Saccharomyces cerevisiae S288C: one gene and its partners. The gene in region 1 interacts genetically with each later gene. Each region holds a gene or a part of one and is shown on either strand. Other genes may lie near its edges.

The links.
Region 2: mutations in PBN1 (region 1) and YHR112C together harm fitness more than expected from each alone (negative genetic interaction), as found in Saccharomyces cerevisiae (one large-scale study listed by BioGRID).
Region 3: mutations in PBN1 (region 1) and FAL1 together harm fitness more than expected from each alone (negative genetic interaction), as found in Saccharomyces cerevisiae (one large-scale study listed by BioGRID).

The regions. Positions count from the first base shown.
Region 1 is NC_001135.5:33,794-37,553, reverse strand, and holds PBN1 (Pbn1p), read left to right. Parts: upstream 1-2,160; coding exon 2,161-3,411; downstream 3,412-3,760. Other genes in the region: LRE1 (Lre1p), read right to left, coding at 1-1,689; SPB1 (27S pre-rRNA (guanosine2922-2'-O)-methyltransferase), read right to left, coding at 3,580-3,760. UniProt on the Saccharomyces cerevisiae protein: Required for proper folding and/or the stability of a subset of proteins in the endoplasmic reticulum. Aids the autocatalytic processing of PRB1.
Region 2 is NC_001140.6:334,027-337,348, reverse strand, and holds YHR112C (putative cystathionine beta-lyase), read left to right. Parts: upstream 1-1,685; coding exon 1,686-2,822; downstream 2,823-3,322. Other genes in the region: APE4 (aspartyl aminopeptidase), read right to left, coding at 1-1,012; UBA4 (Uba4p), read right to left, coding at 2,955-3,322.
Region 3 is NC_001136.10:485,209-488,663, forward strand, and holds FAL1 (ATP-dependent RNA helicase FAL1), read left to right. Parts: upstream 1-1,595; coding exon 1,596-2,795; downstream 2,796-3,455. Other genes in the region: GCV1 (glycine decarboxylase subunit T), read right to left, coding at 1-157; putative uridine kinase DAS2, read right to left, coding at 538-1,236; ATG31 (Atg31p), read right to left, coding at 2,864-3,454. UniProt on the Saccharomyces cerevisiae protein: ATP-dependent RNA helicase involved in 40S ribosomal subunit biogenesis. Required for the processing and cleavage of 35S pre-rRNA at sites A0, A1, and A2, leading to mature 18S rRNA.

The DNA of each region.
Region 1 (3,760 bases):
ACTGTCCTGCGCCTGCTTTCCTAACGCATCATCGCTAATACACCAGCTTTCATTGCTTGTTGCTGCGCTGTTGCTCGCATGGAACGTTTTCAGTGCGTCATCATCCTGGGATAAACTAAAGACTAAGTCACCAGTTTCATTTGAGGCTTTTCTCTGCGCGTTGACAAAAGAGGACAGATCAACCATATCACCTGGTTCACCCATGAGAATGTCCTTACTTAGTTGCGAATTGGTTCTGATCTGCCCTTCAGACTTGGAATATTCATTACTGTCATTACTTTTAAGCCTATTCATTTCTTCCTTGCCATCAGGCGTACAGGATTTGACCACAGAGTGTTGAAGGGGTGCATCGTCCGCTCTCGTAATAACCCCTCCGATACTATTTTCATTGTTGACACCGTTGACTGAAAAGGGCATGGACTGTGCATTAATGTTTTCATTTTTCATCATATCATCATATGGCATTTCATAATGTTGACTCTTGTAGTTGAAGATTGAGTTTATCGTGTTACTGTTTCGTCTACCTTTCATATTATCAATCAGGTTGCGGTGTTGCATGTGGGAGATAGGACTGCCCGATCTTCTTCTTCTCGATTCTCCACTAAAATCCTGTCTTTTATCGCTATCCAGCACACGATTAAGCTGTGAATTGCCGCACTTTTTAGGATAACCATCCTTGGCATATCTAGGGTTATCTTTTAGTGGAAAATTATCACTTTCTAAGTTAATGTCCGCATTGCTGTCATAAAAGGATACTGGTGTTGCGGGAGTAGATGCTAGTTTAGAAGGGGTATAGGCCAGGGAAGAAGGTGTCATTGCCTGATTGATTGTCATTGAAGCAGCCGACCTTTGTTCTTTTGGAGATTGCGAGTCACAGCCTACGGTCAAAGGTAGCTGCTTCGTATAATGATAATATCTTTGCTTTTGGCCTTTGATCTTCAACGAATTGAATGTGTTGGAATTCCGTGCATTGGCGTTTTGCATCCCATGGTTGTGATGGGTCGGTGACCCATTGAGAGCTGAATCATCTACATCAATGGCCTGTTCAGATACACAAAGGGAAGGCCGCAGTGGGGATAATAGTGCTGTTGGAAGCTTTTGCTCATAATATTCATTTTTCGATTCTGGTTCAATTAAGGAGTCCTCTTCTTCTTTAATCATAGAGTTAGAACCGGCTGCACAATTGCCCTTATCTACCATAACCTCCAAATCAGGAGGAGCGGATTCAGATCTTCTATGTGATTTAAATGACCTAGGCCTTGTCTTCAACGCATCGTCAAGGTTAATAATGGCATCTGGGACGCCTTTAACTGGCGATGAAAAACTTGGCTCTTCACTAATGAAAAATCGTGGACTTGGTGTTTGCAGATTGTTCTTTGGTGATAACGGATAAAATCTTGGTTCAGGCAAATCTAACGTTCCAGCGTCTTCATTGGTTTTGCAAGGAAATCTATTGTAGCGTATTGGCGATAATGTACTTGATACAGCAGTTGGGGCAGTTGAAGGACAATTTTCAGCCGCCTGTGGAGGTGGTAAATTCACAATTGCTGCAGGCTGTTTCAAAAAATCAAAATCTCCTGATATTGCTAGCGATCTGCGATGGCGGTGACCTCTTTTGGATGGTGTAGACAAAGTATTTACAGGATTTGGCTCTGATATTTGCACATGTTGAGTATGCGTATTGGGCATTTTCCTATTCTGAGAAGGAGTATGAAATAATTGCCGAGGGTTCAGAATGCTCTTTTAGAAATAAAAATGAATGTAAATAGTTGGAATGTATCTTTAAGTAGACAAATGCAGGTAAGTTTTAGTGGCCTTTGCGGATTAACAGTATGCTCTTAGTGCAAAACACGAAAAGAGCTCCCAATCTTTGAACACAATCGACCACGGAGGAACAATACACGTAGAAGGGGATAACTAAAACTTTGTCGTGCAAGAGTATTGGAGGACACACTAACAGCAGAACTTTGCCTTCTTAACTCTTGTTTATGATTGCTTGAAGTATTACACATGTAATAAAAGATGATTATTTTTTTTTTCCTAAAAAAAGTTCCTTTCTTTGAAGATCCCCCTGATAAAAAAGATCAAATAATGGAAACGCTAATCATAATCAAATCGGGAGGAGAATAAACGCAAGAAGTGTGCGTTTCTAGCTGAGTAATGGTGACAAGACATAGAGTGACTGTACTCTACAATGCCCCTGAGGATATCGGTAATCATATGCGCCAAAATGACACTCATTTGACTGTTCGTGGAGGTTCTGGTGTGGTTTTACAACAAAGGTGGCTATTAGAGAGGACTGGAAGCTTGGATAAATCCTTTACGAGAATCACTTGGAGGCCCAGAGCGGACTTGGCTAGAAGTTTAAGCGTTATAGAAAATGAACTGAGTGCTGGCTTTTCAGTTTACTCAAATTCTTCGGATGTGCCGGAAAGGTTTATTACTAACCCAGTCTACAATTCATTTCACAGTGAGAAGTTTGACATAGAGCAGTACTTGCCTCCCGAAGTAGATTTGAATCTGTCATGGAATCCAGAAGATTTTACATATGATATATCAGTGGAGCCCACACAAATCCAAATTGTTGAATATCGTCTGTTGAAACAGGGTGAAGAATTTACAATTGCAAGAGTGAAAGATGAGAAACTCGAAGTAGGTGTATTCTTTGTGGATGCAAGTGATGAAAGTGATGTCGATATTGGTGGAATACGTTGTAATTGGAGGATGGACGATGGTAAAATGGAAAGATGTCAGAAAACATCCTTATTGTATAAACAGGGCCATATCGCATACAATCACTCGACGACTACGACATCACTATATCTGAATGAACCTATCGGTTTGCATCCAAAAATCATGATTGATCTCACAGATTTCGAAGAACGCCCTAAATGCATGTATCTAATGCACCTGCAATTGCCGTTAGAATTATTTATCGATAAATTCCAATCCTCTCCCTTACTACTTTTTGGAGAAGACGACTTAGAATTACCAGAATACTCTCTTCGAGATAAGGCATGGGGTTCTGAAAGTATCTTTGAATTGAAAGCCGGCACAATGAATGAAGTGACATTGCATACTAGATATATTGAGCCTTCTAATAATAAAGGGGATAAATTAGAAGTTTCATTTGATCCAGAAGTTATATTAGCCTGCGACACAGGTGACAATAAAGTTTCCCGTAATCCATTTTATAAAAAAGGTCTAGGATATGAATCTCTCTTTACAGACGATACTACATTCCGCCATTTGAACTCGACAACTCTTCTAGTACCAATTCCAAGGCCTGACACAAAGGATTATTCCAAGATCAAAAATGGTACGTTACTATGCTTACTCATCTCCATCATATACATTTTCTCCAAGGTATTTGGTAACAACAAGAAGAAAAGATCAGTAAAACGGGAATAAAAATTGTTCTACTGTGCACTCGTATTTTCTGAATTCAAAACGATAGGTTTCCTATAAGTTTTTTGATGATAATTTGATTAATTCTATGTATACATAATATATCTATTGCTTTCTTTTCCTTTATTTTCAATATTATACAAGGGAATGGAAAAATAATGCTCTTTGTTACTACTTTTTCTTGTGATGCTTCTTTGCGATACGTCTTAGGGCTCTTTGTTCATTCTTCATGACACCATCAACCATCTTATACTTACCCTTAACGCCCTTTGGTCTACCTGCCAAACCTTTGTTCCTACCTGAGGCAACAACCAAAGTAACCTTTGGCTTGGTCTTTGGTTTTTTGGTAACC
Region 2 (3,322 bases), on another chromosome or scaffold:
AACCGTCCCCCTTCAGGATGGACAACCTTTCCAATATATTAGGCAAGAAGTTAGAATCTGCCCCTTGGGCGGAGGATGAGCCAATCTCCTCATGATCAAAGCATGCCATCAATCTAATGCCTGATTCTCGGTCAATTTCTGTGTCAGCCGCCAACGTTAAACCGTGCATTGATGTGAAACAAGATGTCAAATTATCCAATCGACCAGAGAAGACAAACTCATCGTTGAACCCACCTAGAGTGGATGCATTATGATCATAAAGGATCAATTCGAAGTCTTCAATGTCTTCAATTGTATCAATGGCGAGTTCTTTGGCTATTAGCCCCAAAAGTTCTGCGTGATGCCTCTGTACTATCGTTTTTATGGAGGTAAACTCACCGTTATTAATTTCCTTTTCAGTTTTCGCTTCAGTTTTGTCTTCTTGCAGACCACCAATCGGCAACAGTTGAGTTTCTCTATTAAACTCGAATTTTTGATTTACGTCTCTGTCCAGATGAATAGCCAAAGTAGGAATCTTTAACAGAGGTCTATTCAAATCCACCAATCTAGCAATGGATTTGCCAGTTTTCGCATCCTTTACGAAAACTCTTCCGGCAACGCCCAAATCCTTATCAAACCATGAATGCCAAATAGCGCCACCATAAGTTTCCACGCCCACTTGTAAATACTTCTCACTGACTCTTTTAGAAATAGGCTTAATCCTTAATGCGGGGGAGTCGGTGTGAGCACCCGTAATGGCAATTGGATTACCAGGCTCCCACTTTCCACCAACAGCAAACGCAATAATGGAAGAGCCATTTCTTGTCACAAAGTACTTTCCTTTTTGTGCGACGTGGCCAGCCCACGAGTCACGTTCGCTCAACTCTTTGAAGCCATTTGACACCAGATGCTTTTTGATGTTATGAACTGTATGGTAAGGAGAGTGTGAGCTATTTAAGAAACTGACAAACTCCTTTGGGTAATCACTCTTGCATGTTTTGCTGGACATAGTTCTCAGTTGTATCCTGAACATAGAAAAGCTGAACCTTTTATTCTTTCTTTTTACCTACTTGCTCACATAACATGAATTTTTTCTTTCATTCATACAGGAGGAAAACGCCCTTTTTTCTTTCATTTAAGAGCGTGGAGATATCTGCAACTTTTCAGCAAGTATGATAAGGCTAAAATGATAAGGAATAGAAAACCGTAGCCAGAAACTAGTATCTCGAAAGCCAAGGCAGGCTTCTGTTGCAAAAATAAGCAGACCTTAAACTAAAGGAGTTTACTCCTTGGCGGAACACTGAATCACATTATATACGTAAGTTGAACGGGACTATTTATCACGTGTGATTATGTGGTCTCCATGTCAGTCGCAATATTTACAGTATATATAAGGGAAAGAGGGCCAGTTGTAATAATTGTAGTACGTGAAATAACTGTTTCTGAAGTCCTTCACATACGCTTTGGTACGGGATTAACCACTTACTGATAGACCTCAAGGATATCTTGTGAGTTCTTGTCAAATGGTGAAACTGTGGTTTCTATTTTTTTGCGGTGTTTAATTCAGAGTGCGATCACTTGATGGGTTTATGCAACACGCGATATATAAGCATATTGCGCAACAATAGATCGTTGCAATCCCTCCATCTCTTCAAATGTTGTAGTACATGCTATAAAGGAAAGATTGCACGAAAAGAGTACGTAAGATGGTGGACTTGTCAACAGCTTTGATTCATGGCGATGATAAAGATAACAGGGTTACTGACGTGGCGCCCCCAATTAATGTCTCTACAACCTTCCGTTACGACGATGACGACCTAATTCCATGGACAGAGCGTGAAAACTTGGACTTTATGGAGAAGAAGCCCGTATATTCACGGCTAGCGCATCCAAATAGCACCAGATTAGAGAGTATCTTCTCAGAGATCCTCGATGGTTATGCTGTCATTTATTCTTCAGGGTTAGCTGCGTTCTATGCGGCAATGGTACATTACAACCCTAAGAAGATCTTTATCGGACAGAGCTACCATGGTGTTCGAGCAATTGCTAACATATTGACCCGTAATTACGGCATTGAGCAACACCCCTTGGAAGATATTGAAAAATGTGCTTCTGAAGGTGACATTGTCCATCTGGAATCTCCTGTAAACCCATATGGTACCTCTTCTGATATCGAGAGTTTGGCCCGCAGAGCTCATGCAAAAGGCGCCCTGCTTATAGTGGATTCCACATTCGCATCTCCTCCATTGCAATACGCATGGAATTTCGGAGCCGATATTGTCCTATACTCTGCTACTAAGTACTTTGGTGGTCATTCTGACTTGTTAAGTGGCGTCCTTGTAGTCAAAGAGGAAGCAACTTCCCGACAACTAAAAGACGACAGAATCTACTTGGGTACAAACGTGGCAAATTTGGAAAGTTTCATGTTGTTGCGATCCCTGAGAACCTACGAAATGAGAATAACCAAACAATCAGAAAATGCTACGAAATTAGTTAGATTTTTGTCAGATCACCAATCTGAATTTGACAAAGTATTGAAGACGATTTACCACTCTTCTTTACAAACAGAAGAGTTCGTTAAAAAGCAACTGGTAGGAGGATATGGTCCCGTTTTTGCTATCACTTTGTACACCAAAGAGCAGTGTAAACAATTACCCCTCAAGCTGAAATATTTCCATCATGCGACCTCACTGGGTGGAATTGAATCCCTTGTGGAATGGAGAGCAATGACTGACCCATATATCGACCAAACTTTAATAAGAGTATCTGTGGGCTGTGAATCCGCTAATGATTTGATTAAGGATTTGGCTTCGGCCTTGAAAGAATTGCAGGATGCAGCCTGAATAAATTGCTCAAGTGTGTCGAAAACATTCCTGTTATAGAGCATAAGTGACAGACAAGAAGAAATAATGAAAGGAGGGAAAGGGATAAAAAAAAATAAAGTTACATATACACGTTATACATGTATAGGTCAACTAATATTTAGGAATGGTTTGATCAATATCGTCTATGTATTTGAAGTATCCTCCTCTCACGTCTCGTACATTAGAAAACCCAAATTTATCCTTCAATAATCTTGTAGCTAGCTGAGAGTCGTTACCGTAGCGGCAAAGAATCACTATATTACTGTCTTTTTCTACACTGGGAAGTTTTTCTTGCAGTTTCTTAAGATCACCGTTCATATCTCTTAGATTTTTGATTGGAATATTAACTGCTTCAGGGAAATGAGATATCTCGTAATGATGGGATGGCCTAACATCAAGAAATATATGTTTTGCTAGAAATTCATCATCCTTGTAGATACGCTGAAATGCGTCCACACTGATTCTCTCATCAGGCTCGC
Region 3 (3,455 bases), on another chromosome or scaffold:
GTGATTCAATATGAGTCTGTCCCTTGTATAGTACGGGCATGGAATATCCTGCGTATGGTACCATTGTACCGCCTAATGACACATGAAGGTCATGAAGAGCAGTTTTTTTCAAAGTTGAGTTGAATCTCTTAAACACAATTTTTTTGATTATAGACATTATTGCTTGTGCCAGGCAAAGCTCTTTCTACATATGTGAGCTACGGGTACTGTAATTGGATTTGTTTGGGTTCAAGGTGCTATATATATGATATTTGGACCTATTCTTTTTGACATACCGTTTACTCGAGGCAACACGAGTCAGGGCTCCTGAGCAGAGTCGCCCTGCCGAAAGAAGTCACGGCGATGAACAAAATAGGTGATATCTATGACCAGCTCTAAGTAAGAACTCAGCTTCCCGTGAGCATGGTTCTAATGGAGTAAAAGCGCCCATCGAGATCCAAGAATGCAAAAAAAAAATCAATAAGCTTGTGTGGGTAAATACGGATGTTAGTCGCATCGAGCCGATTAAAAGTGGCGCAGATATAGAAGGCAAGGACCTCATGACAGATCGTAATATCTATCTTTCTCCAAGTCCATTGTTTCAGCTTCGAAATCCCATAAACGTGGGCGTATTTTGTTGTTCGTATTGTTGCCTTCTATTTGGCTTTTGGTATCTTCGATTGCTTTAACTATACCGTCCACGAGGACTGCGCGCCCTAGATTTTCATTTGTAGAAGGAATGATCAAATCTGCAAAAGTTCTAGTGGGCTCTATATATTGTTGCATCTCCGGGCGCAGATGGTCCATATACTCAGTGATCAACTGGGCTAGTTGTTCATTGCTCCCTACGTTCTTCTTCTTGATTAGACTAATTAATCTTTTATCTGCATCACTATCCAAGAATACTTTTAATTGAGATATTTCGTTGATGCGTTTATCGTATAGCGCATAACAGCCACATACTATTATCAAATCTATCGGGTCCTCGTAATCATGTTGAATCATGTCATTTTGAGAAGTTACAGCGTGCTTTTCATATACCAAATTAAGGATATTATCAAAATCATAGTCGTTATTATTGTAGCTCTTGATGTTCCCTTCTATCATATTATCTAGGTTTATTACCCTTATATTGATAGAGTTATATAGGCTTTTGAAAGTATTTTGTAAATCCAGTGCAATTGCTCCAACACCAGTAGCATGCCCTCCACCGATAGAAATAACAATTCTTTTTTCTTCGACAGCTTTTCTGTCCATTTCCTGTAATATTTATCTCGCTAATTGTTAATGCAGGAAACGAAAATTAAAAACGATTTCCCTTGTGGTATGCTCTAGGAAAAATGTACAGATAAATTGAATTATCCGTGATGGCAGCGTACAATCCATAGTTGCTTACTATTTGATCTGCTTTTTCTATCAGTGTCGAGAATTTATGCCGAAGTTTGAAAATTTTATTTTATGCGATGAGCTAGATAATAGCAGGGCCCAGACAAAATAAAAACATGAATTATACACAAATTTTAATATAAAAGGGCCACCACTCCTTCAAGAGGTATAAAAATTTGTTCACTCAAATAAAATAGACCGTACAGAAACAAAAAAAAAACTCATTAGACATGTCGTTTGACAGAGAAGAAGACCAAAAATTGAAGTTTAAAACATCGAAAAAATTAAAGGTGTCTTCTACTTTTGAAAGCATGAATCTAAAAGATGACTTACTTCGAGGAATATACTCATACGGTTTTGAAGCACCATCCTCTATCCAATCAAGGGCTATTACACAGATTATTTCGGGCAAGGACGTTATAGCACAAGCACAATCAGGTACAGGTAAGACAGCAACTTTTACAATCGGCCTTTTACAAGCTATTGATTTAAGGAAGAAAGATTTACAAGCTCTAATACTATCTCCAACACGTGAATTAGCAAGCCAAATTGGGCAAGTAGTAAAAAATCTAGGGGATTATATGAATGTCAATGCATTTGCCATTACAGGTGGTAAAACTTTGAAAGACGACCTGAAGAAAATGCAAAAGCATGGTTGCCAGGCCGTTAGCGGAACACCAGGAAGAGTATTAGACATGATTAAGAAACAAATGTTGCAAACAAGAAATGTTCAAATGTTAGTTTTAGATGAGGCTGATGAATTATTGAGTGAGACACTAGGTTTCAAGCAACAAATATACGATATTTTTGCAAAATTGCCTAAAAATTGCCAAGTTGTTGTTGTCAGCGCAACAATGAATAAGGACATTTTAGAAGTAACCAGAAAATTTATGAATGATCCAGTTAAAATCCTAGTGAAGAGGGATGAAATATCACTTGAAGGTATCAAACAATATGTCGTTAATGTTGACAAAGAAGAGTGGAAATTCGATACTCTGTGTGATATATACGATTCTTTGACCATTACACAATGTGTGATATTCTGTAACACCAAGAAAAAAGTAGATTGGTTATCTCAGCGGCTAATCCAATCAAACTTTGCTGTAGTCTCCATGCATGGTGATATGAAACAAGAAGAAAGAGATAAAGTAATGAATGATTTTAGAACAGGTCATTCTCGTGTACTGATATCGACGGATGTTTGGGCGCGCGGTATTGATGTCCAACAAGTTTCTTTAGTCATTAACTATGACCTACCAGAAATAATAGAAAATTACATCCATCGTATCGGTAGAAGTGGTCGATTTGGTAGAAAGGGTGTGGCTATAAACTTCATTACCAAAGCTGATTTAGCAAAACTTAGAGAAATTGAAAAATTCTATTCTATCAAAATAAATCCGATGCCAGCAAATTTTGCAGAATTATCATAAAATATAGAGAACATATACCTACATAAACAAGTTAAGAGAGTCTCATCCATGCGGCTTCATTTTTGCTTTCATACGGAATTGGAGAGCATTTGTAATTGTTCATTTTGTGTGACGTAGAGTTTAATTAAGTCATTCAAACTCAAATCGCGAAGAAAAGGAGACAGATCGCAAAATTGTGAAATTACATCGAGCTCAATGTCCGAGTCCACTCTGAATCTATCACTGTCAACGCTAAGTTCTTCCTCTTCATCATTAGATTTATCATCACCATGTGATGATAATGTTCTCATTTGGTTTTCCTCCAAGCTGAGACTATTTGTCCTATGTGACAAAAGCTCATATTGGTCGCTGATTAGTGTGATATCCTCAAGAGATCCCGATTCATCCAATTGGACAATTATGACATTTTCAAGTTCATCTCCGACCTTATCTATTCCTGCTGTCAAAGCAGCATCACTTGAATCTACTAGTTCATCATTGTTGTCCTCAAATATGTACTTAATGTTAGTGGGAAACATTGCATAATCACTTCCGTCCGTGCTCTTTGATTCATTATTGTATGCTGGTTGATCATCGTTGCTGGGACCCTTGTTATTTTTGATATTCTCTTCTAATCTGTACTTGACATTTTTATCATAAACAGTAACTGTAACATTCATT